4 linked regions of the Diceros bicornis minor genome follow. The protein of the gene in region 2 interacts with the protein of the main gene of each other region in a pairwise test. Links are inferred from orthologs where the notes say so. Each region holds a gene or a part of one and is shown on either strand. Other genes may lie near its edges. The genes, in order: FAM131C, GRN, FAM76B and keratin-associated protein 26-1.

Region 1 (7,855 bases), on a different chromosome or scaffold from region 2:
GGCTTTACATGGATTAGGTCATTTAATCCCCTCCCAGCAACCCTAGGACATCAATACTGGCATTACTCCCATTTTAGAGATTAGAACACTGAGATACATACACAAAGTTACATTACTTCCTGAGGTCTCAGAGGCAGAGAATGGTGGAGCAGGGATGCGAACCTGGGCTGGCCGGCTCCAGGCTGCACTCCTGATCTCTCTGGCCTGGCACGGAGAAGCAACTGCTGCCCGATGCTGGCATGGGCTGGCTCTCCCAGGTGTGGCCTGGACCTGGGGTTTGAGGTTTGGCTGGGGTGACCTCAGCTGCATGCAGGCTCCGGGCTCCATATAGGCATCAGCATGAGGCTCCAACCCCTGGCCTGGCTGCAGGCTGCGTCCCTGGCCCAAGGACACGCGTGGACTAAGGGGGCTGCTATTAGCAGTTGGTGCAGGTGTGGAGGCCAGGTGTGGGGCTCAGAAGCTCACGGAAGCCTGCAGCTGGGGAGGAGCAGGACAGGAGCTGGCACCCGGGCTGAGGGCGGGCTGTGCCGGGCAGAGGCCGAGGGCCCAGGCTCTGGAGTCCGCGAGACTGGGTTCCAGTCCCGCCTCTGCTATTTCTTAGCCATGTGGCCCCGCCAAGTCACTCAACTCCCCTCTGCTCAGTTTCCCCATTTGTACAATGGGGACTGTGATAGTATGTACCCCAAATTAACTAGTTGTGCCCAAAAGGTTCCAACCAGTACCTGGTAAGCCATAAGTACGCTGAGACTATTAGTGACAGAGGGGTGGACGGCCTCCACTCGGGGGTTCACGGGACGACGGTGTCCTCTGCTCAAGCAGCCCTATACCTTCATCTTTATCTCATTTCTCTGCATGCACATTAAGCTCTAAGTGGCCCTACCCTCTCAGGAGGGAGACAAGGTTAGAATATACAACCAGATCTGGAGGTGGCACTCGGGAGCCCAAGCCACAGAAGGAAGGGTGGAGAACGCCCGTCTTGGGTGGTGTGACCTCAAACAGGCATGGCAGAGGGTGCCAGCACTGGGTGGGGGTTCAGAGGACCTGGGCCCCACCCCAGTCCTGACACCACCTCGCAGTGTGACCTTGGTGGGCTTCTCTTCCTCCCTGGCCTCTGCACTGTGCTCAGCGGGTCTGCAGCTCACAGGCAAGTTCATGAGGGGCTGGGCCCCCAGTTCCTGGCATGGGATGACTAAGTGATGGGGAAGGGACACAGTCACCAAGGAAACACCAGATCCCAGATCCCCAACACCCGGAGCCTGCCCAGAGCCTTCGGGGTTTCTGGAGACACACTGAGAGCCTGTCTGTCCTAAAGAACTCTAAACACTTCACTCTTGAAACTCCCTTCCCCTCTGGCTGGGCTGCAGGCCTCACGAGAGCAGGCGCTGTGCTGGGCTCATCGCCGCTGGAAGCCCAGAGCCTACACCGTGCCTGGCACACAGTAGGTGTCATGCTAATATCAGCTTATGAATGAGTAAGTGAATGAACCTCACACAGTCTAGCCTCCACCCACAATCCCAGCCCTGACACCCTCCTAAGACATGTTGAGCCACGTACCTGAATGTCCCACATGGACCGGTGAGCAGAGCCCCTTAGAGGCCAGAGGATGGGCAGGTGTGTGTGGGGGGGATGTTGTGCTCCTTCATCAACACCTCCCAGGGCAAGGCCCCCTCCAGGGCCTGCCCAGCTCCTCCCAAAGACCTGTTCATTCCTCTATACCTGAATAAGCTATTGGGGGAGACAGGTGGGGTAGCAGGCCCCAAGGCCCTGAGGTTGGGTCGGTGGGTTTAGCCTCAGCCCAATGTCCCAGTCACCTCCACCCCCAGCCCTGCCCCGCATCCCACTCTGGGGTGAAGAGACAGGTGGGAGAACAGCCCAGCCAACCTCTTCTAAAATGTTGCCCAGTGGCCTGTTGGATCCACCTGCCCATCCCCGAGGCTCTGTGTAAGACTCCCCCGCCACCCTCCAGGGCAGCTCACTCCAGCTCCCGGGCATCACCCTGGGGACAGGGGTGGGGCTTGGCACAGGACAAGAGCAGAGTGTGCCAGGTCAGGGCGGCTTTTAAATCACAGAGACAGAGAGAAAGGCCCAGGGCTTACTGGGAACATCAGCTGTCTCTCTCCCTTCCTACCCCCTGACCTCAGATGGCGATGGGGATGAGGAGTTGGGGATAAGGGTGGGGGAAGGGGAACTTTCTTTATAACCTGTTCACCTCCATTAAGCCCTTCCTGCCAATGGGGTTCAGGGACTCTGAAGACAGGGGCATGGGGTAAGAGGAGGGAATGAGCTGGTGGGGGGTGGGGGAGCGTTGAGCTAGTGAGGCCTGTGTCTTGAGGGGGTGTGAATCTGTGTTCTGGTGCCCCCGACGTCCCGCCAGAGACGCCAAGGGCAACCAGAAACCTCCTTCCCTTCCAAGGCACACGCACGGCAGGGGGTGTGTGGCTGTTGGGAAAGAAGGGACTCTGTTTCATGCCACCAGCTGGGGTGTGGTTCCAAGCGGGTCTGGGGATGCGGTGACCTCGCTGCGCTCTCTCTCCAAGCAGCACCCCGTCTCCCGCGCCCTGTGCCCCTCGGGGCACCGCGTCCCCTGGGGCTCGGCGGGCGTGGGGTGGGGTGCGGCTTAGTCCGGGAGGGGCGGGTCGCTCCCCTACCCCTCTAGTTTCCTCAGAGCGGTCGAGAGGACGTGCGCGCGTCCCGGGCGCGGGGACCCCGGCCACCGCCCCCCCCAGGCCGGCGGCCCCCTCACCTCGCGACACGCAGGAGCCCATCACGGGGCCGCGGGGCCGGGCCGCTGCGCCTCGGGTGCGTCGGGCCGCTGGGCGCTCATGTCTCCGCGGGCTGGGGCTCAGGTGCGCGCGGGCGCAGCGGGCGGAGGGGCGCGCGGAGGAGCGGGGAAGGGGCTGCGGCTCCGCTCGCTCGGCCGCCACCACCGCCGCGCCCGGCTCTTCGCGCCGCCGCCTCCCGCGCCGCGCTCGCTCCTGCTCCTGCTCCTGCTCCTGCTCTGCCAGCCGCGGGCGGCACGGCGGGCGGGGGCCCCCGGGGACCGCGCGCCCCGAGCCCCGAGTGCCCTGCCCCTGCCCCCTGCGTGGCCGCCAGCCCCGCGCACCTGTTGCGGCAGCCCGGGCGGGGGGTGCAAGGGAGTGGGGGGGACAGGGGGTGGGGTGGCGGGGAGGGCAGAAGGTGGGGAGGGCAATTTCCGGCCCTCAGGCCTCCCGCGCCACCTGGTGACAGGGGCTGAAGGTCAGGGAAGGGGGCGGTGGGGACGGGGAGATTCCGGCATTTAGGCACAAAGTACATAACGTTAACTCAACCACCACGACCGGACACCCGGCTGAGCGCAGTAACAATAGTTCCACTGCGCCCATTTTGCAGAGGCTCATGGAAGTCAGATGCCTGCCTGAGGTCCCTTAGCTGTGAGGGACAGCGACTTTGGACCGTCAGCTCCTCATTTGGGGGACGCTGGCCCGGGGTAGAGTACGGAGGGTGGAGATAGTGTACTAGTGGCCTCGCGCTGGACAGGAGTCTCCCGTAGCACCTGAAGGGGGTCGACGGCCTCTCTGGGCCTATCCAGGGCAAGGTAAACTGAGGCACGGGCCTTTCCTCAGCCCGGGTCTCCTGTCTAATGGAGCGACAGTGGCCGGCTCTAATCACTCACCCTCAGTCTCACACACACACGTACCTACAAACACTCTCACACGCGTACACACCCACACATGCCAACTTGCACACCCACACACTTGTACACACTCACACACACTAGCACACACCCACAGACTCATATGTATACACGCTCACATTTACACACCCTCCCCCACCAGCGCCTTAGCAAACCTTCCCTCCGGGGCCCTCACTTTCACCTGCTTGGTCTCACTCCATCCTTACACCTACCTGTGCCCCAGGTGGGCGCGTGTCACTGTGTCCCTTTCACAGGTGAGGAAGCCAGGTTCACTGGTCCCTTCAAACTCCTGGTGACGGCCGGGCAAGGTTTGGAAGGCTGGATGAGGTTTGAGGCAGGGGCGTGGGGTAGAGCTGGAGGCCTCCAGCAGGGCAGGATCTGGGCCTGGTGGGACTGCCGGGGGCGGGGTGGGGGACAGGGCTGGGGGTGGGTGCTGACCGCTTTCTCTTTCTCCAGGCCTGGTCACCTCTCTGGAGTCAAGTCTGGGTGGAGAGTGGCCCTGGCCACTGGTGTCAGCAGATCTGGTGTGAGTGTGGGCTCAGCTCACACAGGCTGTGTGACTCGGGGCAAGTTGATTCACCTCTCTGAGGCTCAGTTTTTTTATCTGTTAACCCAGGGTAAAAATCTCACCTCCTGGGGTTGCTGTAAGGATTAATGAGATAATATGTGCAAAATGACCAGCACATAGTACATACTTAACTTACGGCTAATGATAATTGATAGTGACGGTGAACACAGGTAGGAAGTATTATTACCTCCCCACAGCTTCCCTACACCCACAGGAAGCCTAAAGAACCGCCATTCAGTGGACGTGTATGAAGCACCTACTATGCGCCACTGCGAACAAGACAGACATGCTAGTCCTGGAGTCAGTGCTGTGTCTGGTCAGGGTGCTCAGACACCCCCATGCCCCGCCCATCTCAGACCTGTCCCCCCCGCCCCCCCCCCCCCGTCTGGCCTGTGGGGATAGCTCTGAAGGGACAGTCTGTGATCACCATGGATGCCCTGGTGCCTTGCACAGTGTCAGCTGTGTGCCTGCCCTTGTGTGGAAACAGGAAGACGAGTCTGCCTGTGGCCAGGCTCTGGGGGCCTGTCCTGTGTGGCCCGGGGTTGTGGCAGCAGAAGTGTCCTTCCTCTTTCCGTGGTGGAGTGACTGGCTCTGGCCTGGAGGGAGGGCTCTGACTCACCATGACGCAGGAAGCTTGGTCACAGCTGCTGCTGCTCCCAGCTGGCAGCCTGGCAGCTCTGGGGGCAGAGGGGATGGGGAGGGGGACCCCTGCAGAGAGGACAGGGCAGCTCACAGGGGAAAGGATGCCTGAGGAGTCTACTGTGTCCCCTTCAGCTTAAGACAGGGACAGGTGGACGAGGCTGGGCAGCGGCCCCACACGGGGTCCCTTGCTCACCAGCTCAGAGAGATGGCTGGGCGAGGTGGGGTGGTTCTGGCTGTCCCAGCCTCCAGCATTCATGCTGGTCAGTTCCACACTGAATCAATCCTCTCATTGTAGAGATTGGCTCTCAGAGAGGGGCAGGGGCTTGCCCAAGGTCACACAGCAAATTGATGGCAGAATGGGGACGAGAACCCAGGTCTCCTGCCTGTCAGCCCAGCCCTGGCACTAACCTGAGACTGGACCATGTGAGGGTGGGCAGCTCCCTGTTGCATGCCCACATTCACCTTCCCTGTCCTTGGAATTCTGCTGAAGCTGATGGTTCCCAGACTCCCAGACAGCTCTAAGATATGTGGCTGTCCTTCCCCAGGGGCAGGCTGTCCTTTCTCAGCTCAGCCCACAGCCCATCTGCCCTGTGACCTCCCATTCCCCTCCCCCAGCACCCTCCTCCCCATCCATCCACTGGGGGGAGGAGAGAGGAGGCTGCTGCTGGGTGAGGGGACCAGGGGAGAGAGTGCCCTTCACACCCCGAACCTCATTCGCCTGTCATGGTTTTGGGGATCCGGGCAGAGTCCCCACTCCTGTGGCTGCCCTACTTGTTCTGTTCAACAACGGACGTTTACTGGCCCCGGGTGCCCAGCCCTGGGCTGGGCCCTGGAGCATGGAGAGCAGATGATGCAGGGTTTGGTCAGGGAAAGATTGATCAACGGGAGCCGTTCAGTGATGAGTCAGACCCAGTCCCTGCCCAGGCGGTCCTGGGAGGGGGACGGCACTGCACGAGGGCAGCCGTGTGCATCAATAGCTCGGGTCAGAGTGGACACTGGTGCACCCCCACGCCAGCCAAGTGTGAGGGGAGAGTTGCTTCTGCCAAGGGTTGTGGGGATGGCTTCAAGGCGACGGTGACCCTGCGATGGTTTTTTTTTTTTGTGTGAGGAAGATCAGCCCCGAGCTAACATCCTCCGTGCTAATCCTCCTCTTTTTGCTGAGGAAGACCGGCTCTGAGCTAACATCTATTGCCAATCCTCCTCCTTTTTTTCCCCAAAGCCCCAGTAGATAGTTGTATGTCATAGTTTCACATCCTTCTAGTTGCTGTATGTGGGACGCGGCCTCAGCATGGCGGGAGAAGCGGTGCGTCGGTGCGCGCCCGGGATCCGAACCCTGGGCCGCCAGTAACGGAGCGCACGCACTTAACCACGGGGCCGGCCTGCGATGGGGTTTTGAAGGTTGAATAGGACGTTGGCAGGCAGAGATGCTGGAGGGCTCTGTGTGCACCAGGGTATGGAGGGAGGGATGCTTGAGGTACTGGGGGACTGGCATATATGATGTCTGGGGGACCAGAGGGAGAGGATGAGACTTCAGACTGGGGTTTCCCACCTCGTGCCTCAAACATCTCCTCAGTATTGGTTTTCTCAGGAAAGGCAGAGCTGGATAAGCAGTAAGGGAACAGAATTGGAAGCCAGCCAGATCTGGGTTTGACTCCTGTGCCCAGAACAATTTGTAGTAGATGCTCAATAAGTGTTTGTTGACTGAATGCAAGAAAATGAGACTTGTCCAGGGTCACACATCTAGAAAGCGGTTATAGGCAGGACTGACTGATTCAACCTTTCATTCATCCAGCAAATGCTTATTGAGCATCACTATATGCCCAGCACTATGTGGTGCTGAGATTACAGCGTGAATGAGAGAGATGAGGCCCCTGTTCACTGGAGGAGGGAGAATAGTCCTCATGGGGGAGGTGGGCATTCATCCAGTAACGACCCAGGTGAATTGAGAGTCACAGCCCTGGGATTGCTGAGAAAGATCTATTGAGAGCATAGAAGAGAAGGACTCAATGTGGTGTCGAGCGTGGAGGGAGCGTCCAGGAGAAGCGACAGTGAATGAGTCCACAGCTCAAGTACGAGTGGGACGTGGCTTAGCAGAGATAACGTTGCATGGGCCACCTTAGAGGTGGAGGAAGGGACCAACTCCCAGGAGGAAGAGAGGGCCATGGTGGCTGGAGCACGGGGGATGAGAGGGAGGCGGTGGCAGGAGCGAGCACCTATATGGGATCTGGCCTTTATCCAAAGAGCAGGGGGAAGCCCCATCCTCTGTTTTCTTCTCTGCCAACCAGCTTCTTTCCAGTCACTCTCGGGTGGGGTCGAGGCCTGAATGAAGCTCCTCGTACAGTTCCTTGTTTCTCTGGAGGCCCAGCGCTGTCTGCGAAGCCTGGGAAAGAAGGCCACAGGCTGACCACAGAATGTGCCCACTCTCAGCTCCAGGCTCGGGATGGGGGCTTCTAGCTGGAGTGAGGTGTCGGGTCGGAGTCCCCTCCGCCTCTCCCCAGGCAATGAGCTAGACTAGGTGGGACAGGGAGAGAGAGAAGGGTAAGCCATAGTCTGATGGGGGAGACACAGCCTCTGTGCTGGGCACTGGGGACACTGGGATGAGACCAGCCCCTGCCCTGGAAGCTTCCGGCCCGGATAGTAAACAGGTGCCCCAAGTTCGTCTCTAAAATGCCTGGCCCAGGCCTGGTCCACGGGGGCTGCTTCACGACAAGATCCCTTTCTCAGGGTTGAGGCTGGGACCCTGACTCCTGAGTCTCAGGATCTCTGCAGGTAGGAGGCCCTCTCCCCTCAGATGCTTTTCCTGAGCTGTCAATGTTATGCAGAAGGTGGCCACCAGGGGGCAGCACGAGACAGCACAATTCTTGACTGCTTTCATTTTCCTTCCTCTGTTTGGCGACTGACCCAGAAAGTACCACGCTGGCAACTCAGACTCAGCCACAATTCAAGGTTGTGCCTCATGCGCCCTGCACAAA
Region 2 (7,544 bases):
GCGCCTGCTCAGTGCTGTGGGCCATTTGTCCTGGGAAGTGAGAGGAGAGGATAAACTGAAGGACCCAAGCCTGTCCCCCTCCTCTGGCCAATCCAAGATGCCCCTTTGGGAAATCCCATGATACAAGCTCTGGCGTGGGCTGAAGGGCACTCACCAGAACAGGATTGCAACAGCTGTAGCTGGCTCCTCCTGGGTCCAGGCAGCAGGCCACAGGGCAGAGCTGACCATCTGGGCACTGTGTTCCAGCCACCAGCCCTGCCACTAAGGCCACCCAGCTCACCAGCGTCCACATGGTCTGCCTGCAAAGTAACAAGAGGCCTTTGGAAACCAGCTTAAGCCCATGCCACCCTTGACTCTGGGGCCAGTCACTCCCCAGCCCCAGGCCCAGGGCTACTTGAGCCTCCCCAGCAACTCCTTGTCCAGGCAGCAAGAAAGTGTGGGGCCTGAGACTCAGCTTCCTACATATGTCCTGTGTGTGTGTCACACGTGCACCAGCGCAGGTACACCCATGAGCATGAATGCTGACGAGTACACGTGTGAATCTCTGTCCCCACCATGTGGCTTAACACCTGAGTCTCTGTGGGTGAGTGTGTAGAGATGTGGGCACGTGATAGGAAGATTTATGAGTTTTGTGGGTCTGATCTGTGGGGATGTGGGCCACCTGTGGGGGGTGGGGAAGGCATCAGTAGCCATAGGAGGACAGGGCTAGGGTGCAAGGAGGGAGTCCCCCACCCCGGAAGAAAAGCCAGGATTCCACTTCCGCAGCCAGCCCCTTCAGATGCCTCCTCAATCAATACTGTGCTCACACCTGCACCCTGCTAAGGCCTGCTGGCGGGGGAGGGGAGGTCACATGATGACATGGGAAACCATAGGGTTGAGAAAGTTGTGAAAAGGGAAGTGCAGTGGCCAGTGGAGTCTCAGCTGCCTTCCCCAGAGGCCAGCCACAGCCCACCCACTGACTGTCCCCTCCCCACCCAGGGAAGGGGACACAGAGGCTGGGTCAGCCTTTGAGACACCTGTGTTCTAAGGACCCCCAACACCACCAGGCCCTTTCAGACTCCCCAAAGATACCACCCTCTTACCCCTGCGTCTCCCCCTACCCTGGAGCCGAAACTCAGCCACAGGTAGAGACAGACCACATGTGCCCACCTGACTGCAGATCCCAGTCAGAAGGAACCGAGCCTCAGTCTCTCCGGGGGGGGGGAGCAGCCTCTCACTTCCTACAACTCTTGCCCCAAGTGCCACCACCCTGCTGGTTGAATAGGGCAGGTCCAGGGGATGTCACGCTGCCTAGAGGGGCAAAACCAAATATGTTTATTGAACCCCTTGGGAGCCAGTTACAACACTCTATTTTCTTTATTCTTTGCAACAACCATCCAAAGTAGTAATTATTACCTTTACTTTTCAAAGGAGGAAACTGAGGCTCAGAGATGTTAAGTAACATGCTCATGTCACATATCAAGTCATGGAGATGACAAGCTTTGATGGCTCCAGAGCATATTGGACCTGGGTTCACCTCACAAGTGGCATGATGGACAGTGCCCGGGAATGGACCCCAAACCCCAGGAGGGAAGAGGCCTGGGGTCCAAGCAGAGGAAGGTGACAGAGGCATTTCCTGGGCAGGTGGACCAGGCAGGACAGACATGGGGAGTGCAGGGGCTGCCTGGATACTGCACTTGGGTCCTCGTCCTAGAATTGCCACCACTGACCGAGAGCGCCTCAAAAGTTGCTCCCTATCTCCGGGCCTCAGTTCCCCACCGAGTCTGTGTGTGGACACAGCACACAGTGTGTGGCAGGGAATCGCACTGGCCCAGGCCCTCACATCCCCTCTCCCTCGCCTGGCTTTCCTCAGGGTCCCCTCCCCAGCTCAAAGACCATCACCAGGAAGCCATCTCGCGGCCAGGTAAGGATGAAGAAGAACAGTCCTGGGCCACAGCCCCATTCACCCTCTCCTCTATGCCCACAGCTCACAGGCAAGGCATACACAGCCGGCCCACCCACTTCTTGGGAGTCCAACCTCGACCCTCCACAGGCTGTCTCACTGCCCTGGCTTAGGCAAGAAGCGATGCGTGTCTGCACAGACCTCGGACTATTCGGCACCCTAGTGATTTATGTATGTATATTTTCCTTCCTGGGTATCCTGAGGTTAGGGAGTATAGTGTATGCATCTACTGAATACGCATGCCCGCACATGCACACACAGGACCAGGGATGGAGGAGGAGAGGCCTAATTCCTCTCAACAGGGTTCTGAGTGGAGGCCTCTCTCACCCCCACCCCACCTTGCCCCAGTAGAGAGCGACGACAGGAGCCTCTTCAAGCCCCCACCTCCGTCATCTTCCACTAGGTGGCACCCCCCAACTCCGATTGCCAGGAGGAGAGAGATTCCCAAAAAGTGAGCCAACCCAACTGCGAGTGAGCAGGGAAAAGTGGCAGGGAGAGGCGGAAGTCAGCTTGTCCCACCCCCCACGAGAGGAAGTAAGGGAGAGCCAGACACAACCCAGGGGTTCAGTCACCACTCCCAAGCCCCTGCTACCTTTGAGGAGGCCAGGGTCTCAAGTCCCACTCCCAGCCCTCTGAGCTCCGGGACCAGGGGTGGGCGTCTCTCTCGCTCCCAGCTGCCGCGGGGACTACCCACCACCACCAGCACCTGCCCACGGGGGAGGAACCGGCTCAAGAATGGAGTGGTCCCTGCTTTGAGGAAGCGGCTGCAGCTTCCGGGGATGCTGGAGGGGAGAGAGCTCCCTTCTAGTGGGGGTCACTGCAATTACTGCTTACTACCACCCCCCATAAAACTCCCTCCAGTGCATCGCAAATCCCCCAAACTCTCTAAGCGACTCTTCCCTTATCTCCTGGCTGAAACTCCGGAGGAACCTTAAGCTTCCATGTCTCCCTGGGCGGGCCCCTGGGAAGGAGCAAGCGAGAGGTGGGCGCCGCCGCCCGCCCTACCTGCGTCAGGGTCGGCGCTCCCTGGATAGCAGGAGCCCGGGAGCTCACGGACTTGGGCCTCGCAGCGCAATGGCCCTCCCACCTCAGTTGCCATTGGCCAGCCGGCCCGGGGTGTCGCGCTACCATTGGCTACGCGCCTGCTTAGAGGCGGGGCTAGGCTGGAAGGCGGTGCTTCTTTCCTACTCAATTCGCTGTCCTCCCTCCCTTCGTTTCTCTCTCGTCACTCCCTGTTTCCAGGGATCATGTGATTGGAGAAGCATGTGATGCCCTAGCCTGCTCCGCCGGGATGGGGGTGCCCGCCTCCCCGCCTTCTGTGGGCGCCTGGTAGAGTTTGCCCGAGATGGAGTAGCGTCTGTCTGGGGACATTGACAGCCAAGGGAGCTGCCCCTTAGAGAGTGCGTTCAAGGGCGTTTACAGGATGTCCGCTTCTGGATTTGGGACATTTGCGCATCCTGTTTCTGTTCTCTTCAACAAACTCAGATTAAATGCTGGCCGGCCAGGCCCCAAAGAGGATGGAAGGAGAGTTGTGAGGGCAAGGATGAACAGCCCTCAGGCACTTTCCTCGAGGTGCTCGCAGCAGGGTGTGGGTGGGTGGAGAATGGAAGACAGGCTCAGATTAAATCTAATTTAAGGTACAAGGGCGTGTGCCAAGTGCTATGGATGTGTATGGGAAGAGGTAGTAGGTTGGCTCTAGGCGGGGAAGAAGAGATTTCGTTCCACCTTGGGGGCACCTTATTGAGCTGAGTCTGGGAGGATTTTAACTGGCAGGTGGGGAGAGGTTGGAGAAGTGGCTGGACAGGGGGTGATGGGAGGAGCGTTAGGAAACCAGATGGGAAGGGCAGCCTTGGGCAGGGATTGAATGCCAAGTTCAGTGTAGTGGACTTGAGGAGCTGCTGTGTGTCTGGCTCAAGGCTGGGCTGGGGTGGGTGCATAGTGGAAGTGGCTTCCTAGTTTCAGTCGGCCCTGCCTTCCAGGAATTGACAGGTCGGGTGAGGAGAGAAAATGTACCACACAGAACAGATTAGCCAGCAACAGGAGGCAGACTGCTCAGTGCCAGAGGGCCTGGCCCAGGCCGAGATGAGTGATAGGAGATGCACGGGGAGAGAGGAGAGGCCCAGAGAAAGCCTGGTGCCTGGGAAGGAAGGGGAGTGTTGGTTATGCAGAGTAGATGGAGAGCGCTGAGAGTGAGGCTGGGGTAGGGAACAAATAGCCACGCTCAGGGGTGGTGGGAGTCTGGGTAGGGAAGCAGTGGCAGGGCTGAGGAATTGAGTGGAAGCAGTGCTCAGCCTGGGGCCAGAGAAGGTCCAGAGAGTGGATAAGGCTCCTGCCGAGAATCAGGACTATTCTGCAGGCTAGTAATATTTGTGCATGTTTTCTTTCCTCTGTATCCCGAGGCAAGAAGGTACAGCTTATGCTTCTATTGACGAAGCTCATATGCACGCGCGCGCGCGCGCGCGCGCGCGCGCACACACACTTTTCATGAAATGTTAGGCAGATCAATAAATGTACCTATTAATCAGAACTACACAGAACAAGAAAAAAAATACACACAGAAAAAGAAAAAAACTAGAGTGACTGAAACAAGTATCACAAAATCCTTAAAGAGGTGATTTGCCCACCAGGGACATTTGGCAGTGTATGGAGATGTTCCAGGTTGTCACTACTGGGGGGAGGTGCATCTAGTGGACAGAGGCCAGGGATGCTGCTAAACTTCCTATAGTGCACAGGACAGCCCCCACAACAAAGATTATTCTGCCCAAAATGTCAGTAGTGCTGAGGTTGAGAAACCCTCTCTAAAGGATCAGAAACTTTCTCCATGAAAGAACTCAAAGTTTTCCTCCCACAGAGCCTCTTTTCTCTTATTTCATATATTTTAAATAAACGTTGTCATCTGATTTCCCAGTAAAAGTAGATTATAGAAAGATCAGGGGATGTATGGGTGGAAGTTTCTAGAAGCAATCACTTTGAGTTTAGCAAGGATTGAAAGCATTTAATAGGAAAAATTGTAAAAAGCAGACTGAAGAACTTAGAAACCCAACATCCCGGGGACACTGAGTATAGGGGGAAACAGTTTTGGAAGACTCAATGGGCCTTACCAGCATTACTCTTAAAGGACAGTAGTTAATAGTCAAAGTATGAACCTGAGCATTCAGAAGAACTTGAATCATATGCAGTTACTCTGATCACTATGGCAAGGAAATGTGGAATATAGTTACTAAACAGCTTCTCACACTAGATACAGGGAACCTCCACTTCAGTGGAGAGGGTACAGTTCCCACGAGGACTGCAGAACATCTCCCACATTCCTCAAGAAATGTTCCAGCGTCCTTAAACCCTCCAATTCAGGAATCTCTCTCCCTCTGCTTTTTGCTTTTAAGGAGGGAGTATCATTTTGTGAATAGGAAAGACTGAAAAGAAACAAACTTCCAGAGTCACAAAGAGATTTGACATCAAAGTGTCTATCCTCATTTGCCCCGTTCCCTAAGCCCTCCCAGCCCCCTTGGCCAGGCCTTGTGATTTTTAATTTTGATATAATCAATTGACTGTAAATGTGAGGGTTTATTTCTGGACTCTTAGTTCTATTCCATTGATCTATTTGTCTGCCCTTATGCCAGTACCACACTGTCTTGATTACTATAGCTGCTTGGCAAGTTTTGAAATTGACAGAAGTGGGAGTCCTCCAACTTCTTTTTCAAGATCATTTTGGCTATTCTGTGCCTCTCAAATTTCTATGCAAATTTTAGGATGAGTTTCTGCAAAGACAGCTGAGGTTTTGATAGGGAATGCACTGAATCTGTAGATCAATTTGGGGTGTATTGCCATCTTAACAATATTAAGTCTTCCTATCCATGAACATGGGATGTCTTTTAATTTATTTATCAGTTTCTTTTTGACAGTTGCCAAGTGTTCCATGCTATAGATGTTATGTAGTTTACTTAACCAGTCTCATTTTTTTTCTTCTCCCCAGTGCCCCAGTACATGGTTGTATATCCTAGTTATAAGTCCTTCTAGTTCTTCTTTGTGAGCCGCTGCCACAGCCTGGCAACTAACAGGCAGGTGGTGTGGTTTCGAGACTGGGAAATGAACCCGGGCCTCCAAGGCAGAGAGCGCAGAACTTTAACCACTACACCATTGGGGCTGGCCATAACCCGTCTCATTTAATGGACTTTTATGTGTTTCCAATTTTTTGCACTGCAAAAACAATTATACAATGAATATTTGTGAACATGTCTTTGAGTGTACATGTGGGAGTTAAATTTGTAAAAGTAACACTGCTGGGTAAAGGGTATGCACATTTGAAATGTTAATGCCCCTCATCTAGCTCAACCCCCTTTCTATGCAATGAGGAAACTGGTGCTCAGTGAGGACCTCCTCTCCAGTCTTGAAAATTTTTCCAGTTTACATTCCCAGTCACACTATTTGGGAAACTTATTTCCCATATACTCACCAACATTGGATACGCCAGTTAAAAAATTTTTTTTGCTTATCTAATGACAGAAGATATTTCCTGGTTGTTTTATCTGCATTCCCTTGACCTCTAGGGAAGTTGAGCATTTTTGCCTATGCTTATTCTGCATATGTATTTCTTCTGTGAATTGCCTGTTCTTATCTGTGTTAGTCAGGGTTCTCCAGAGAAACAGAACCAATTGATGTGTATATAGAAAGAGATTTATTGAAAAGAATTGAGTCACGTGACAATGGAAGCCAGCAAGTTCAAAATCTGCAATGTGAGCCAGCAGGCCGGAGGCGCAGGAGAGTCTGATCGTGCAGATGAAGTCTAAAAGCAGTTGCTGGAGAATTTCCTCTTGCTTGGAGAGGCCAGTCTTTTTGTTCTATTCAGGCCTTCAACTGATTGAATGAGGCCCACCCACATTATGGAGGGCAATTTGCTTTAGCCAAAATTCACTGATTTAAATGTTAATCTCATCAAAAAACACCCTCCAAGTTGACACGTAAATCTAACCATCACATTATCCTTTGTTCACTTTTCTACAGTGTTTTTCTTTTTCTTGTTGGACTATGAGATCTCTTTATATATTCTGGATATTACATATGGTGCAGATATTTCTTTCCAATCTGTCATTTGTCTTTTATCTTTATTTATGGTATCTTTTGCGGTCAGAAGCTGTGTTGTTATGTTATCGGAAATCTAGCAATCAATTTTTTCCTTTGTGGCTTCTGCATTTTTTTTCCCTCCTTGCTTAAGAAGTTATAAATATGTTTTTCCTTGTTCATTTCTATTCCTGCTGCAGCCCCAGCTGAACTGGACCTCAGATACCAGGCTTGTGCTGGATTGAGGCACCGTAATTGACAGGAGGTCCCACTCAGGAGCCTGGCACGGAGAGACCCCTGGATATGTCCCTCTGGCTAAGAGGTTCCTCCAGTCAGCCCCAGGGCTGCTTTCAGAGGTGATGGTCTGGATAAAGGGGTTGGGCAGCTCCCTTCTCTATCCTGTCTTCCACTTTTCTCAGCCTCTCCCTGTTTCTTCCAATCACCCCTCAGTGTTTTCTTCATTCAGAGTTACTGTTCTGTCCACATAGAAGAGTCACAGCTACCCCAGGACAGAGGCTATCTCCCCCCAGGATCTTGCATTGCC
Region 3 (7,679 bases), on a different chromosome or scaffold from region 2:
AATTGAGACATTTAAAAAAATTAAACATTTGCTGCATAAAATATACCCAGTGTACAAATATATTTCTGGATTAAGGAAACAGGCAAAAAATTTTTCTGTCAAGTATGTTGCCTTGTCGCATTCAATGACATTTATCATATTTCTATTCATTTACTAACATTTATTTCTAGAGCTATGAAACTTTTTGTTATTCTATTGAATAGTTTAATGATCATGAGAAACATTATTTACGATTTGCATATCATGTTATATAATACAAAAGCTACACGTGAAAAGGGTCTCAAAGAATGAAAATAAATGTATGCGTTTATAGAAAAGTTTGATGTATCCAGTATATGGAGGAATAAAGTTTTACTAATTTAATATTCTGGTTAGCTTAATTACTATATCATTTATTCAAAAAACATTTAGCAACTTATCATATACAGGTACAGATGATTCAAGAAATACATACTATAGGTGAGTTTTCAACTTAAAAATATTGGCACAAGCACACTCAACATAAACTATAACAAACATACCTTAATTTTCTTTGATGTTCAAATGACAATTCAGGATTTTATAGAGCCTTAAGGCCAGCACTTTGACTAATCATGACTATAATATACCAATAATTTCTTCCCTGAAATATTCTGGTATGTTGAAATATTTCAGAACATAGCAATACATATTTTTTAAAAGGTCCATCATTGTGAAAAAGATTAATTGACCGGTAACAATAAAATGAAATGAAAATGTAAGACATACTTACCGTGCCAAATTGCTTCACATTTTGAGCGCACTTCTTACAAATTGTATTAGTTTTGCTAAAAAGGAAATTGTATATAGATGATCAAATTTATGTAGCTTTCTGAGTAACTAGCACAATGTTGAACTAAAGCAAACAGTGAAAGAGAACAATTTGCTTTAGCAGTACTTAAAACTTACTCTAATATAGACCAAGGATTTTTTAGAAAATACAAACATAAGTATCTTTTAGGGTTGTATATTATCCAAATTTACTTTTCTTCCAATAGCTTAAGATAAATGTTTTTACATATTTTTATTTTTTACTTTTTGTTAAACAAAAACTCCTAATGTTTCCTATCTAGTTTCAAAATCTTCACACTTGCCACTATTTAGGTATAGCATTACATACCAGTGCCTACCTTACCTTCCACTGGGCCTTCTCCACTATATGATGTCCACACCTACTCATGAAGAAATCATTTGTTCTTGTCTTAGGCTACTCTCTTGTATGTGCTGTGATTCTCTAAGAATCACCCTGTTAAAACGTATTTGCTGGGGCCGGCCTGGTGGCGCAAGCGGTTAAGTGCGCGCGCTCTGCTGTGGCGGCCCGGGGTTCGCCGGTTCGGATCCCGGTCGCGCACCGACGCACTGCTTGTCAAGCCATGCTGTGGCGGCGTCCCATATAAAGTAGAGGAAGATGGGCATGGATGTTAGCCCAGGGCCAGTCTTCCTCAGGAAAAAGAGGAGAATTGGCAGATGTTAGCTCAGGGCCGATCATCCTCACAAAAAAAAAAAAAAAGTATGTGCTGTTCTTCCACTGGTAACAAGTTACTAGATTTCACCCGGGGAAGGTAGTTGGTAACACTCAAGACCTCTTTTCATGTCCAAGCCAGCACTAATGTTTTGCCATTTTTTTATAGCTTAATAGTAACTATCTATATTTGCATTTTTTTGTTAGCAAGGCTGTACATTTCTCAGGCGACAATTTATTCTTTATTTCCTCATGTGTAAACTGAAGTCTAGCTGTAAAATAACCATTAAATTTTTGTCAACATTCTCTCTCTCATCATGCATAAAAAGTTTACAACTTAAAATCTAAAAAACTAAACCATTTTTTTAAAAAAACTTGAATACAAACATGGGATTACAACCCCCAAGTATTCCTTACAGACAATACTTTGTCCTTAACAATCAAAAACTGTTCAGTATACAAACCTCTCTTGTTGAAATTCTGATCTGCAGTAAGTACATTTTACAATAGGATGTGCAATCCGACATTCCTGTAATAAAACAATATATTAGTCAGTATCTATCTCAAAGTCCTAAATTTCACTTTTCTAGTAGAAAATTATTACCCAACCTAGTCAAATGTCTAAAACAGCTATAAAATCTGTCCCCCGATGTAGACAATTGAGTGACTTATGTAAGTGGCCAATTACAGCACAATTCCTTGGGGAAGGCATAGGTGTCTTTGTCTTTATTAGATGTGGGGGGTATGCTGCAGATAAATTAAGCAAGCTGTCAGGGCCGATTTCAAGAACTGGTTAAATGTGAAACTACTTATTATTTTGCACCGTTGCTCACAGACAGCATCCCGGCTTTAATGGGATGGGAGGAGCTCCAAATCATAGAGCATTCTGTTCCCAAGCCAGTCGCTTCGCTTTCCTGGACAGGGAAGAAGGATGCCATCAGCTTTGCGGCTTCAGGTTCCTAGCAAGAAAGTGCAAAAACCGTCCCCCGCCTCCCGATGGAAGGAGAGGACAGACCAGGCAGAAAAACGAGATGAAAACATCTCCACCCCAGGGTCTCTGCAGCATAGACAGGTGGCTGCTTCACTCAGCCCCACCCCGGAGACCCCTGAACGTTATTGGGGCCCGGGCCCCTCCTGGGCCGCCTGGAAGACAGCAGTATTCTGTCTTCCTCCCAGGGGCCTTTCGCAGCTGATGCCCAGGTCCTCGGAAAAAGGGGTCCCCGGGTGAGAAGGCGAAGGCTCCAAATCCCTAAGGCGCCGGCGAAGGGCTCAGCGCTGCAGTGCAGCGGGCACCCAGCACCTTCGGGCTACGGCCGAGGAAACCCCGCCCGCCCGCCGCCCAGCGCCCACGGACCTTGCAGAGCTGCTGGCCCTGGGAGAGCTCCTCGAAGGGATAGCGCTGGGTACACTTGGTGCAAGCGTACAGGGCCGAGGCCGCCATCCTGCTCAGTCTCCTCCTCCACCGCCGCCCGCTCCGAGGCGGGGCCCTACGGAGAACTCGGGCGCCGCAGCCGCCACCGCCGCCCGGGCCGCGGGCTCCTCCTCCTCCCCCCCCCCCCCGCCTCGCGCCCACCAGGGCCTTGCTGCGAGATCCCAGGGCCCTGCGGCCGACGCCGTCTCCCTCCGCCTCCACTTCCGCCCCAGCCCACCAAGTGACGCCGACCCAGCCGCTCCTGCTTAGGCCCCGATAGCGGCGGAGGGAGACGAAGCGGATAGTTCTTTGCGGTTTAGCTGCGCGGCAGCGGATCCGCTTCCTTCTCGGCCCCCTTCCCCATTCCTGATTGGCTGGGGAGAGTACTGCGTCTCTCGGTCGCTCCTCCCAATGCCTAACCCCGGCTACGCAGGGAGCTCCCACAAAGGGAGGAAGTCGCTGGCCAATAACAGCCCGACGCTCTCAGCGCGCGAAAGCCGCTTTAAACTCGCCCCGCCCAAAGGTCCCGGTCGCGGCCATTTCTAACAGCTAGTGACAGGTTTGGGTGAGAGCGCCCCAACCCAATTGGGCAAATGTTCACGAAGGTTTACTCTCTGACTCTACTCTTTTTCCCCTGACTTTTATTGGACCAAATCATTAAGCCCCTCCTAATTCTATTAGTTATTGGTCAAAAGGTAAGTACTTCACCTGGAGAGGCGTCCCCGAGTCAAGCTCACGCTCTCTCCGGCGTTAGTCCGAGAGAACCGATGGAGTGTTTGAAATTCGCATTCGCTTTTATCCTCTGTCAGTCATTCGATCCAATTGCCACCGGAGACAACTCAACCCCTCACCCATGTTTCCTCCTCGAGAAGGCCCGCCCCTTTGTAGAGTCCCCTCTGAGCCATCTAGTATTCTGCAGCGTTACCCGCGCCGCAGTCTCAGCTACGCGCTACCTTGTGACGTCACCGAGGGAAGAGGCGGGTTCTCTCCTACTCCCGGAAGACGTCCGTTTTTTTGATTGGCTGTTCAAGACGTCCTTTAGGGCGTGTCGCCCTTTCTGTGTCCGCTCTGAGCGTGGGCGTCCCTGTGGGGGTGTGTGGCTGGGGCTTCTGGACCTGGCACCAGCCACCTAGCCCCTTCCATCAGGGGTTCGGCTTAGGGTCGCCCCTGGCGGGCGGCTCTCGAATTTTGAAGAAAAGCACGAGAACTCGGACCGCTGCGGGGCTGCGGAGGTCCGCTGGGCAGGCAGGAAGATGGCGGCAGCGTCGGTCTCTGCGACTTCTGGTTCTCAGTTCTCGGTAAGAAGCGGTTGACGTTCGAATAAGCCCCAGGTCGGCCCTAGCGCCTCTTTGCTTTTCCTCCCGCTTTAGAGAGCTCTTGGGCCAGCGTCTCACCCCATCCTGGGGAACGGCAGGCGACGCTGAGGTCGCCCCGTTCTACCCTGACGTCCAGTGCTTCTCTGTCGAGGCTCCTGTCTTCCATTGAAACAGGCCTGGCCCGGCTCTGTCCCCCATGCCCCCTTCACCTTTCGGCTTGGCAGCCCAGGTTGCCAAACATTGCCAGGGCTCTCTGGGATGGCTGTACCCACACGCTGGCCTGTGAAAACCTTTCTCCTTTGGTCACGTGGGTGTAACGGCCGGTCTTGGAAACGCGCCGCGAACAGGTAGGCGCGCTAGTCGGCTTGCTTGGCAGCTGTGGCCGAGTCCGCAGCCTCTAGTGCATCCTCGTCGTTGCTTATGCTGATTCCTTTGCCTGCAGCTCCTCCCCCTCCCATCCTCCCAGTAACTTTGTTCTGTGCTTATCCTACCCAGAGCGCGCGCTTCCCACCTCCCACCTTGTTACTATGACTGCAGTGTGTAAATGCCGTTTTTGAGAGGCCACAGGGGGAAATGATCTTAAATACTGGTTTCCCCTCCACAAGGGTCATCAGCCAGTTCACTCACTAATAATTGGCGAATTGGAGTACCGAACGCTTAGCATTTTGGGAACCGCGGCGTTAGGAACAGATAGACAATAAATGTGAGGAGGCTGAAGTGAGAGCCATTATTTCTGTATTTAGCAGATGCTGAGTGCCTGGCACACTTGTAGACTCTAAGATTACGGAGTTGAATAGGATAGAATCCCTGCTCTGAAAGAGCAAAACACTGAAGAGAAACTACACGTAATTAGATTATTACACAGTACAGTTTTTAATACTACCATACTAGAATAACCTGGGCGACAGTGATTAGCAGTGCTTGGGTAGGCTAGAGACAGTTTCCTAGAAGGGAAGATGGAGCTACCTGGATGATGAAGGAATCGTAAATGCTTGTGGCAAGAACAGAAAAAGGAAGGAGACAAAAGCATCACAGGCATTTTGGGGCATGTGACAAGACAATAGGTGCTCTTAGGAAACTTGAAATAATTTGGAATGAGTAGAGGTAGTGTGGAAGTAGAGTTGGGCTAGATGAATTGTAAACGTAGGTAAAAACATGAAAAAAGGATAGTGAGGGAAGAAGACAGGAGAATATCAGGGTAAAGTTATGTCATAGAAGCTAACGGGGGAAAAAAGTTTAGGGCAAGCAGAGTCACCTAGGGGAAGACACACTTCTCCTCAGTTTCAGCTTTTGATGACTGTTGTCAGGATTTGTGATAATGAGGCCAGAAGTAACCTTCAGGGTTTCAGCAGAATGAGGGTAATAAGTTTGCAGAGAGTTTTGGGAAGAATAAGGACGAAGAATGAATGAAGCAATTGGAGTTGATTCAGGAATTAGGTCAGTAAAAGGGAAGATAAGAGAGACACTGTTAGACTGTTAGGAAGAAGTGTCACTAAGTAGGTGGGTGAGATTATCTGCGTAGGAGTTGTGATTAAACTTAATTGGGAGAAGAGGGCTTTTCACTGCTCTGAAAATGTAGCACTGGGAGACTGCTCAAGGAATACTCTTATGAGTGTTGAATTCAGCTGCACTCTACCAGTGACTATCTAATGGTCAACCCTTAGTCTTTGAGGTAGCCTGGACAGAGATCCCGTGGAGTGTTTAATAAGAAAGCATATATATTTTTATATGGTAAACTCAGCTTGAAAAGGATTCTAAATATCAAGGGTACACTAAGAATATCTAGGGCCCTTTACAAGTCAAAGTATAACAGCCTTCTTAATTAACTTGACCTGCTACATCAAAGTGTCTAATTTGGAAGTCACTATGTCTCAAAGTAAAAACGACTAAATTTTGTTTATCGGTGTATAAGATATGAGCCCGCTTAGATGCTTTAACTGTCCTGTGAGAAATAAGGCTGGCATTTCCAGCAGAATTAAAAAAGCACTTTAGCTTAACAAACAGCTGATTGTAAAATAAGACAACACAAAAAGAAGACAAGACAAAAAGACCTTTTAAAACTACAACATGAACTCAGAAGGCTATTCATATTCAGACTTCAGGGTTGTGAACTTTATCAATTAATATGTATTCAGCATGGAGCTAGCTGTAGTAAATAAAGGTGCTTTTACCAGGCAAGGATTTTTAACGGGTAGATTCACAAATAACATAGTTGTTAGGAAAGAGCTACCATGTAAATCTCAAATGTGGACAACATGGGAGTAGGTGATACATTCGAATGGCTTTTTTCAGTATTTCGCTGCAACAGCAGCAAGAAGAGTAACAACAGTGGGTAACATTTATTGTGCTATTGCTATGTATCAACTTCACTAGTGGAGAGCAGCAGGGAAACAACTATGATTGGGCATAATGATATTAAATAGAAGTACAGGCAGCACAGTGTTGAAAGAGAAGAATGTCTTTTCTGTCATTCCTTTTTTATTTTCCCAGTAACCATGGTCAACACCCTTCTGTCACTTTGGACTTAATGAGCTAATCTCATAAGTGGTCTCCCTGGCTTTTTAGCCAGACCCTTTAACCGACCTGCTCCATATATCTCTTAAAAATATTTTATGAATATATCATAGATTTTATAACATTAAATATATAAAAAATTTATTTTTGAGAATAATAAAAATGAATAACTTCATGCCCCTTTTTGCATCGTCCTACTTCTCTGTCTTGCTCTCTCACACACCACCATACATTTTGAGATTGTAATAGTATATGACACTCATATAGTACTGTCTGGCAGTCATTGTTTTAAATACTTTTCATATATTAACTCATGTAATCCTCACAATAATCTTATGAGATTGGCATCAGTATTTCCATTTTCAAATGAGCAAAGTGAGACAGAGAGGTTAAGTCAAGGTTACGCAACTAGTAAATAGCAGAGCCTCTTTTATATTTCTGTATAGTATAGTGTCTTGATGGCCTTTGGGGTTTTTAGGGTTTGTTCATTAGTTTGTGTGCCAGCTATTATAAACAATCCTGTTGTGATCATCCCTATATGTTCCACACGTGCAAAAATTTCTCTAGAGCAGCAGTTTTCAAAGAGTAGTCTTAAGACCTTAGGGGTCCCTGAGACCCTCCCAGGGGGTCTACAGTGTCCTTCCTTAGCCAGCTGCTTTGTGGGAGACCAGATTTCCTCGTATAGATCAACCAAAACATCATGTCTGATAGGTTGAATGCAGAAGCAAATGTAAGAATCCAGCGGCTTTTTTTAAAGCTAAGAATTAAAGTGATTTGCAAAAATGTAAGAGAATGCCACTCTTTTCACTAATTTTTTTGGATGATATAGTTATTTTTCACTCAAAAATTATATTTATGGTAACATCATGGGTTTATTATTTTTAAATTAGTAAATAAATTTTCTCAGTTTTAGTTTTTAATATGATAAACATCAATAGATATAACCAACATAAGGAAA
Region 4 (5,375 bases), on a different chromosome or scaffold from region 2:
GAGATTCTTGACTTGACTAAGTAAAGGTCAATTTTTATTTGATAAAGAAAACCTAAGTTATATTTTGTGAATGCCATGATATTAGTCATCAAATATTTACTAAGGATCGACTAAGTTTCCTCACATGTATTGAGAATAATGATCACGCCTACTCAAATAGGGATGCTGTGAGGATTAAATCAATTAATACATGTAAAATACATAGAACCGTGTCTAGTACATAATAAGGATTCTGTAAACAGTAGCTAATAAGAGTTCTGTAATATAATCAGGAAATAAGACACATAGAGAAAGAACATTTTGCTTGCAAAGCAAAGGAGTGTGTGTGTGTGTGAAATAGGTAATGATAAATATACAAATTTAAAGCTGGAGAGATTTAGATTGGTAGGAATGTATTTACAAAGAAGGGGCTAATTTAGCTGAGGTTTGAATGATAGTTAAAATGAAAGAATTATTCCAAAGGAGAGGAAGAATAGGATGAATGAGGAGATGATGTAAAATGAGGATGGATGTGGAGTAATTGGAGACACGAACAGACAACCCAAAAAGAGAAGAGAATCTCTATTGGGAAGCAGAGGAGGGCTAATCAAGTGTTTGGACAATTCTCTGTGGACAAAGGGGAGTTATCAACATTTTTGAGTAAGAGAGTCATACGATAAAATTAATTCTAGAAGTATTAATCTAAATGCAGTATTCAAGCTAAAGAGAAGACAATAGGAGGCAAGATGGCAGTGAGAAATGTATTTGTTCACCAAAGGGGAACAAAATCCAACTTGAATGATGGCAGTGATAACAGAAAAGGGAAAATGGATGAAAAGACATAATTTTAGTGATCAAGGAAGAAAAGCCTTACAACAAATTTTCACTCTGTCCAATCTATGCTGCAATTTAATCACAGCACTCTCTTCTTGAAATCAGTTATTGGATCACCACACCTATAGAACAAAATCTTAACTACTTCCTTGATGATTGGATTAGATTCAGCGTGTGAATCTAGGTTTAGTTACTACAACTTGCGTCTAAGAACCCTTCACTGAAAGCACTGTCGTCATTTTTTCTGCCTTTATACCTTTTGCTACAGCCTGAAGTGTCTTTGTCTTTCCCAAACCCTCTACCATTTTCTCTTATCCTTCAAAATCAATATCAAATGCCAATTTTAGGTGAAGCCAATGAGCAACATTTGCTCTTTTCTGTACACCATTTATAGAACTTAGTAAGCACTGACATGAATTGTGTACTTGTCTTATCATATATACAAGATTGGATGTGTCTGGCAGCAGAAATCAATGGTATCTTGGTATTATTGCAAGCATCTATCATAATGTTTTGCATATACAAGATGCTCAACAAATATTTGTTGAACGAATGAATGCAAGGTATGTCATTTATTGACATACCTTTATTGTTGCAATGCTCTGAGGATTCTTTACGTCTAAGAGAGAGAAATTCAGGATTGCTTCTCTACAGTAAGACAGGTAAGGACCCATAATTCATTGAAGAAACAGTAACAAAGTGGGTAAATCTGGAGGAGCACACAGGATGCCCAGTTCTTTAGTCTACCTCTAGCTCTTACATCAGAAGAGCTTGAAACCTGTAGTTTATAGGAGCCTGCTAATGACGTACCTGCTGTTATGCCTACATGAGCTCTTCCCTTTTAGTGACTCGGTCACTATCAAATAACATCAGTTCAACATTTGTTATGTTAAGGTACAACTTACATTCAGGGCACTCTATTTTCTGAAATTCCATGGATATTTTTGCTGTGTTACCCACCCACAACAACAAAAAAATGCAAGTCTTGTAGGGCGCTCTAAAGGAATTAAACCCAAGGTGGTACTCTTTAGAATGGATTAAGGATGCCAAAGCAAGAAAATAAATTATTCTGGTATAGTGTTTTGCAGTACACATTTAACTTTTTCTTATATCTCAATGTATCCTAAAAATGATACTAGACATTACTAATATACCCATTGTTCCATAAAATAATACTGATAGGGACTGGGGATCAGAGTAATTATGAAAATTGCCCAGGGGCACATAGTTAGTAAATGATGGTATCAACATATCTCTATATAATGTCATATCAGATAATGGGACAAAAAACTGTTTGCGGGTTAAGGACCCCCAAGCAAATGTTCAAATGTTTGAAACCCTTTTGTTCAAATATTTTTCTTCATTTCAATTACTGTAAATTTCTTCATCTCAAGTTTTCTCATGAATACTTGAAATAGTAAAATTTACTGTAAAGAGTTGTGAGGATAAAATGACATTGCACATGTGGGTACCCGCACTGCAAGGTGTTGCCCAGAGTAGACGCTAAATGAAGATCAGTTTCCTCATATTCTACATCCCTTCTCTTCATGGAAAAACATTCATTATACATAATGAATACATAACATAAACAATACACACACACACACAAATATATTGATGTACTAATGATGCAGGTATTGGGCTCTTGCTTATGTTAGAGAAGAGCAGGCACAAGGAACATCAACATATAAATCTGATAAGCATTCAGTTAAATATAGCTGTACCTATTACTAACGCCATTTAGCTGAGGCCTCCAGGATATCACAAGAAGACTCAAGCAATGTGTACCAAGAGTACCAGGTGACAAAGCTGGGGAAGTGGGGATTGGGGTTGGGGGGACTCCTCAAACACATCAGGTACAAATCATCAAAGGGTATTGTTCCCTGACCTAAAATACTGAGATAATTTCATCCTGTCAGTACAGGCCCTCAGAGACTGTATCACGTTCTTTTCATATTTCTATCCTTGGTAGTAAAATAGTTCTATATTGGCTTGTAGAGAAACCAATCTTCTATTTCAAAGATTCTGCTCCTGGACAGAGGGAGACTCAATCCATGTGGGCGTTTTCGTTAAACATTAAAATAGAAGAAAGTGCTGTGATTTCCGTTGAATTTCTAGCTAAAGGGCATTGGAAATCAGATCCAGCAGATAATTAAAATTTCCATTAAAATAGCCATTGGAGCCACTAGATATGTTGGTAGATGAAAAACACAGTGAGAAGATTGAGGCTAAATGCAACCATGTTTTCTAAACCAGTTTTTACCAGAAAATATATCCCCAAATTACCTTCCAAGTACTCATACTTAGGAAAACTTTACATTTATTCTGATGCTATTGCTCATGTAAAGCAGTTTAGAAACTCCTCTCTGGAAATTGATATGAGAACCAATGGAAGAAGCAGAACCACATCCACGTCCACGTCTTAATCATTATGTCCCTTTTTTTCCCAAGAATAGTAGTTTTCAGTTGGGACGTGAGTAACCATGAAATACATAGCCTATAATAACTATGAAAAATGTCATTTGTTCAACTTTCTTTAAGTGGTTTTATTTGCTTTTGTCACAGAAGGATGTATAATTTTAACTGAGCCCAATGTATTTATCTGTATTAAGAATACTTTAAACATCAAATAAGCTTTCAGTTTGACTCAGTTTATTTATTTATTGAAATGAAGAAAATGGGCTTGATTTTCTAAAATGAAGATATTTTGGTGGGAAGTCACTTTCTACCAGGATTCAACAATAAAACAAAGTACAAATTTGGGTGCATTGACATTTTCCATTTTGTACTACTTTTAAACTCTTTCTGCCCCAAACCATATAGGTTATAGGATTTTTTACATTCTTTTACAACATACTTGCTTTTAAGTTTCTTTTTTCGACAATTTCCTAAAAGAATAGAATTTCCTCTCAAAGAGAGCTAACTTGTCATTGTTTCAAAGAAGTATTCTACAACTTTTGAAGACAAATCCAAGAGAGGCATTCTAAGAATGTTTAGGCAGAGGTGGTTATAATTGGAATACGTGAATGACCTTCAAAAGTATCTGTTTGGGTTGGATAATTTAAGAAGGAGAGATCCTATTAAAATTCAGTCACTCTGCTCTGTAGAAATGATGGAAGGCCTTGCCAGGAACATCCAGTTTTATGAGAGGTGGGAGCACCACTTCCGGGCTATAATGAAGAGTTCTGAGGCAGCCTCACACAACAAGGAAGAAGAGAGTCTGTATACACGATCATCACCTTCCAGGGATATATAAGGGATCAAGCCAAACGAGGGGCACAGCGAAACTTGAGACACTCGCTTCTTTCCAATCAACCCCAGCCTGCTCTCGGCACCTCACCATGTCTTGCCACAACTACTGCTCTGGAAGCGACAGCTTGGGATCCCTCAGAAATCTGTGTCATATTCCTCTCACCTCCTCCATTTCCCTCTGCTCTACAAATGTGAGCTCTGGAGATGTCCTCTGCTTGCCCAGCAGCCATCAAGACCACACCTGGCTCCTGGACAACTGTCAAGAGACCTGCAGTGAACCAACCAGCTGCCAGCCAGCCAACTGTGAGCCCAGCAACTTGGAAACTTCTCACTGCCCCTCCACTGCTTACTACGTGTCCGGACCCTGCCAAGGAACCACTTTTCTTCCGGCTGCTTCTTACGTCTCTAGCTCCTACCTCCCAGCATCTTGTAGACCTCCGAGGTATGTGTCCAGCAGCTGCCGACCCCTGCGCCTCCTCCCTTACGGATGCCGCCCCTTGGGTTGTTTGCCCTGTGGTCCTCAACCCCTTAGCGTCGTGTCCAGCTGCCTCAGACCTCTGCATCCTCTCTCCATTGGATACCGACCTCTGACCCATGTGTTCAGCACTTGTCATCCATCTTGCTCTCCACTGGGAGGCCAGTACCCTCCTTGTTCCAGTTTATAATCATGCTGAAGATCCAAGGCAAAAATTCCAACTCCATGGACTTTTGCTTCTTTCCTAGTAGTGACTGCATTTTCTTGGTTTTACTGTGCCTGATCTAATGCAAGCTGCTCTTTTCACATTTTTAACTCTTTTTTTCATCTCTCTCTGACATCAAATTATTTGGTTTACAATGTTATTCATATTGCTTGGGTGTGGGAAGAATTTCTTTGGTTTATGCTGTAATAAATGAGATCAAATCAGAATTAAGATTCTGGTTCTTCAATTTGTCTTTTATTTCTTCATTTTAACGGAGAAATGACCAACCTCAACTTCTTGCAAAATAAGTAACTAGGACTTGGGACACTCAAACATATGTTCTTATCTGACAATAGGGGTATGGCTTGATGGCTTATTCTTTGAGCTGCTTTCTAGATCTCGCCTCCTACGTACTTGAGAGACCCCAAATGTTCTTGGTGGAAGTTATTTTGAAAAGGCGAGATTAGGAATGATCTCCTTATCTCTGTCTTCCAGTGAACATACTTCCACCAGAATGTCCTTTCTAATCACAAACTGAGCCATATTTCAGGCCTGCTTAAGCGTTTGATGGCTTCCTATGATCTTTTCCCACAAAATAAAAAAAACAAACCCCTTACCATGACATCAGCT

The links.
Region 1: the proteins of GRN (region 2) and FAM131C interact in binary tests that used the Homo sapiens proteins (3 or more experiments, as listed by UniProt). The link is inferred for Diceros bicornis minor from reciprocal best matches to the Homo sapiens genes GRN and FAM131C.
Region 3: the proteins of GRN (region 2) and FAM76B interact in binary tests that used the Homo sapiens proteins (3 or more experiments, as listed by UniProt). The link is inferred for Diceros bicornis minor from reciprocal best matches to the Homo sapiens genes GRN and FAM76B.
Region 4: the proteins of GRN (region 2) and keratin-associated protein 26-1 interact in binary tests that used the Homo sapiens proteins (3 or more experiments, as listed by UniProt). The two-hybrid records come from large-scale screens. The link is inferred for Diceros bicornis minor from reciprocal best matches to the Homo sapiens genes GRN and KRTAP26-1.

Annotation. Positions count from the first base shown.
Region 1 is NC_080752.1:34,029,760-34,037,614, forward strand, and holds the start of FAM131C (protein FAM131C), read right to left. Parts: upstream 3,013-7,855; 5' UTR 2,766-3,012; coding exon 2,744-2,765; intron 1-2,743.
Region 2 is NC_080757.1:42,918,920-42,926,463, reverse strand, and holds the start of GRN (progranulin), read right to left. Parts: upstream 3,019-7,544; 5' UTR 2,948-3,018; intron 1,291-2,947; 5' UTR 1,150-1,290; intron 300-1,149; 5' UTR 293-299; coding exon 155-292; intron 31-154; coding exon 1-30. UniProt on the Homo sapiens protein: Secreted protein that acts as a key regulator of lysosomal function and as a growth factor involved in inflammation, wound healing and cell proliferation. Regulates protein trafficking to lysosomes, and also the activity of lysosomal enzymes.
Region 3 is NC_080746.1:38,219,401-38,227,079, reverse strand, and holds the start of FAM76B (protein FAM76B), read right to left. Parts: upstream 3,014-7,679; 5' UTR 2,922-3,013; coding exon 2,835-2,921; intron 2,010-2,834; coding exon 1,945-2,009; intron 807-1,944; coding exon 752-806; intron 1-751. Other genes in the region: CEP57 (centrosomal protein of 57 kDa), read left to right, coding at 4,145-4,189. UniProt on the Homo sapiens protein: Negatively regulates the NF-kappa-B-mediated inflammatory pathway by preventing the translocation of HNRNPA2B1 from the nucleus to the cytoplasm.
Region 4 is NC_080766.1:31,087,028-31,092,402, reverse strand, and holds keratin-associated protein 26-1, read left to right. Parts: upstream 1-4,087; 5' UTR 4,088-4,154; coding exon 4,155-4,730; 3' UTR 4,731-4,867; downstream 4,868-5,375. UniProt on the Homo sapiens protein: In the hair cortex, hair keratin intermediate filaments are embedded in an interfilamentous matrix, consisting of hair keratin-associated proteins (KRTAP), which are essential for the formation of a rigid and resistant hair shaft through their extensive disulfide bond cross-linking with abundant cysteine residues of hair keratins.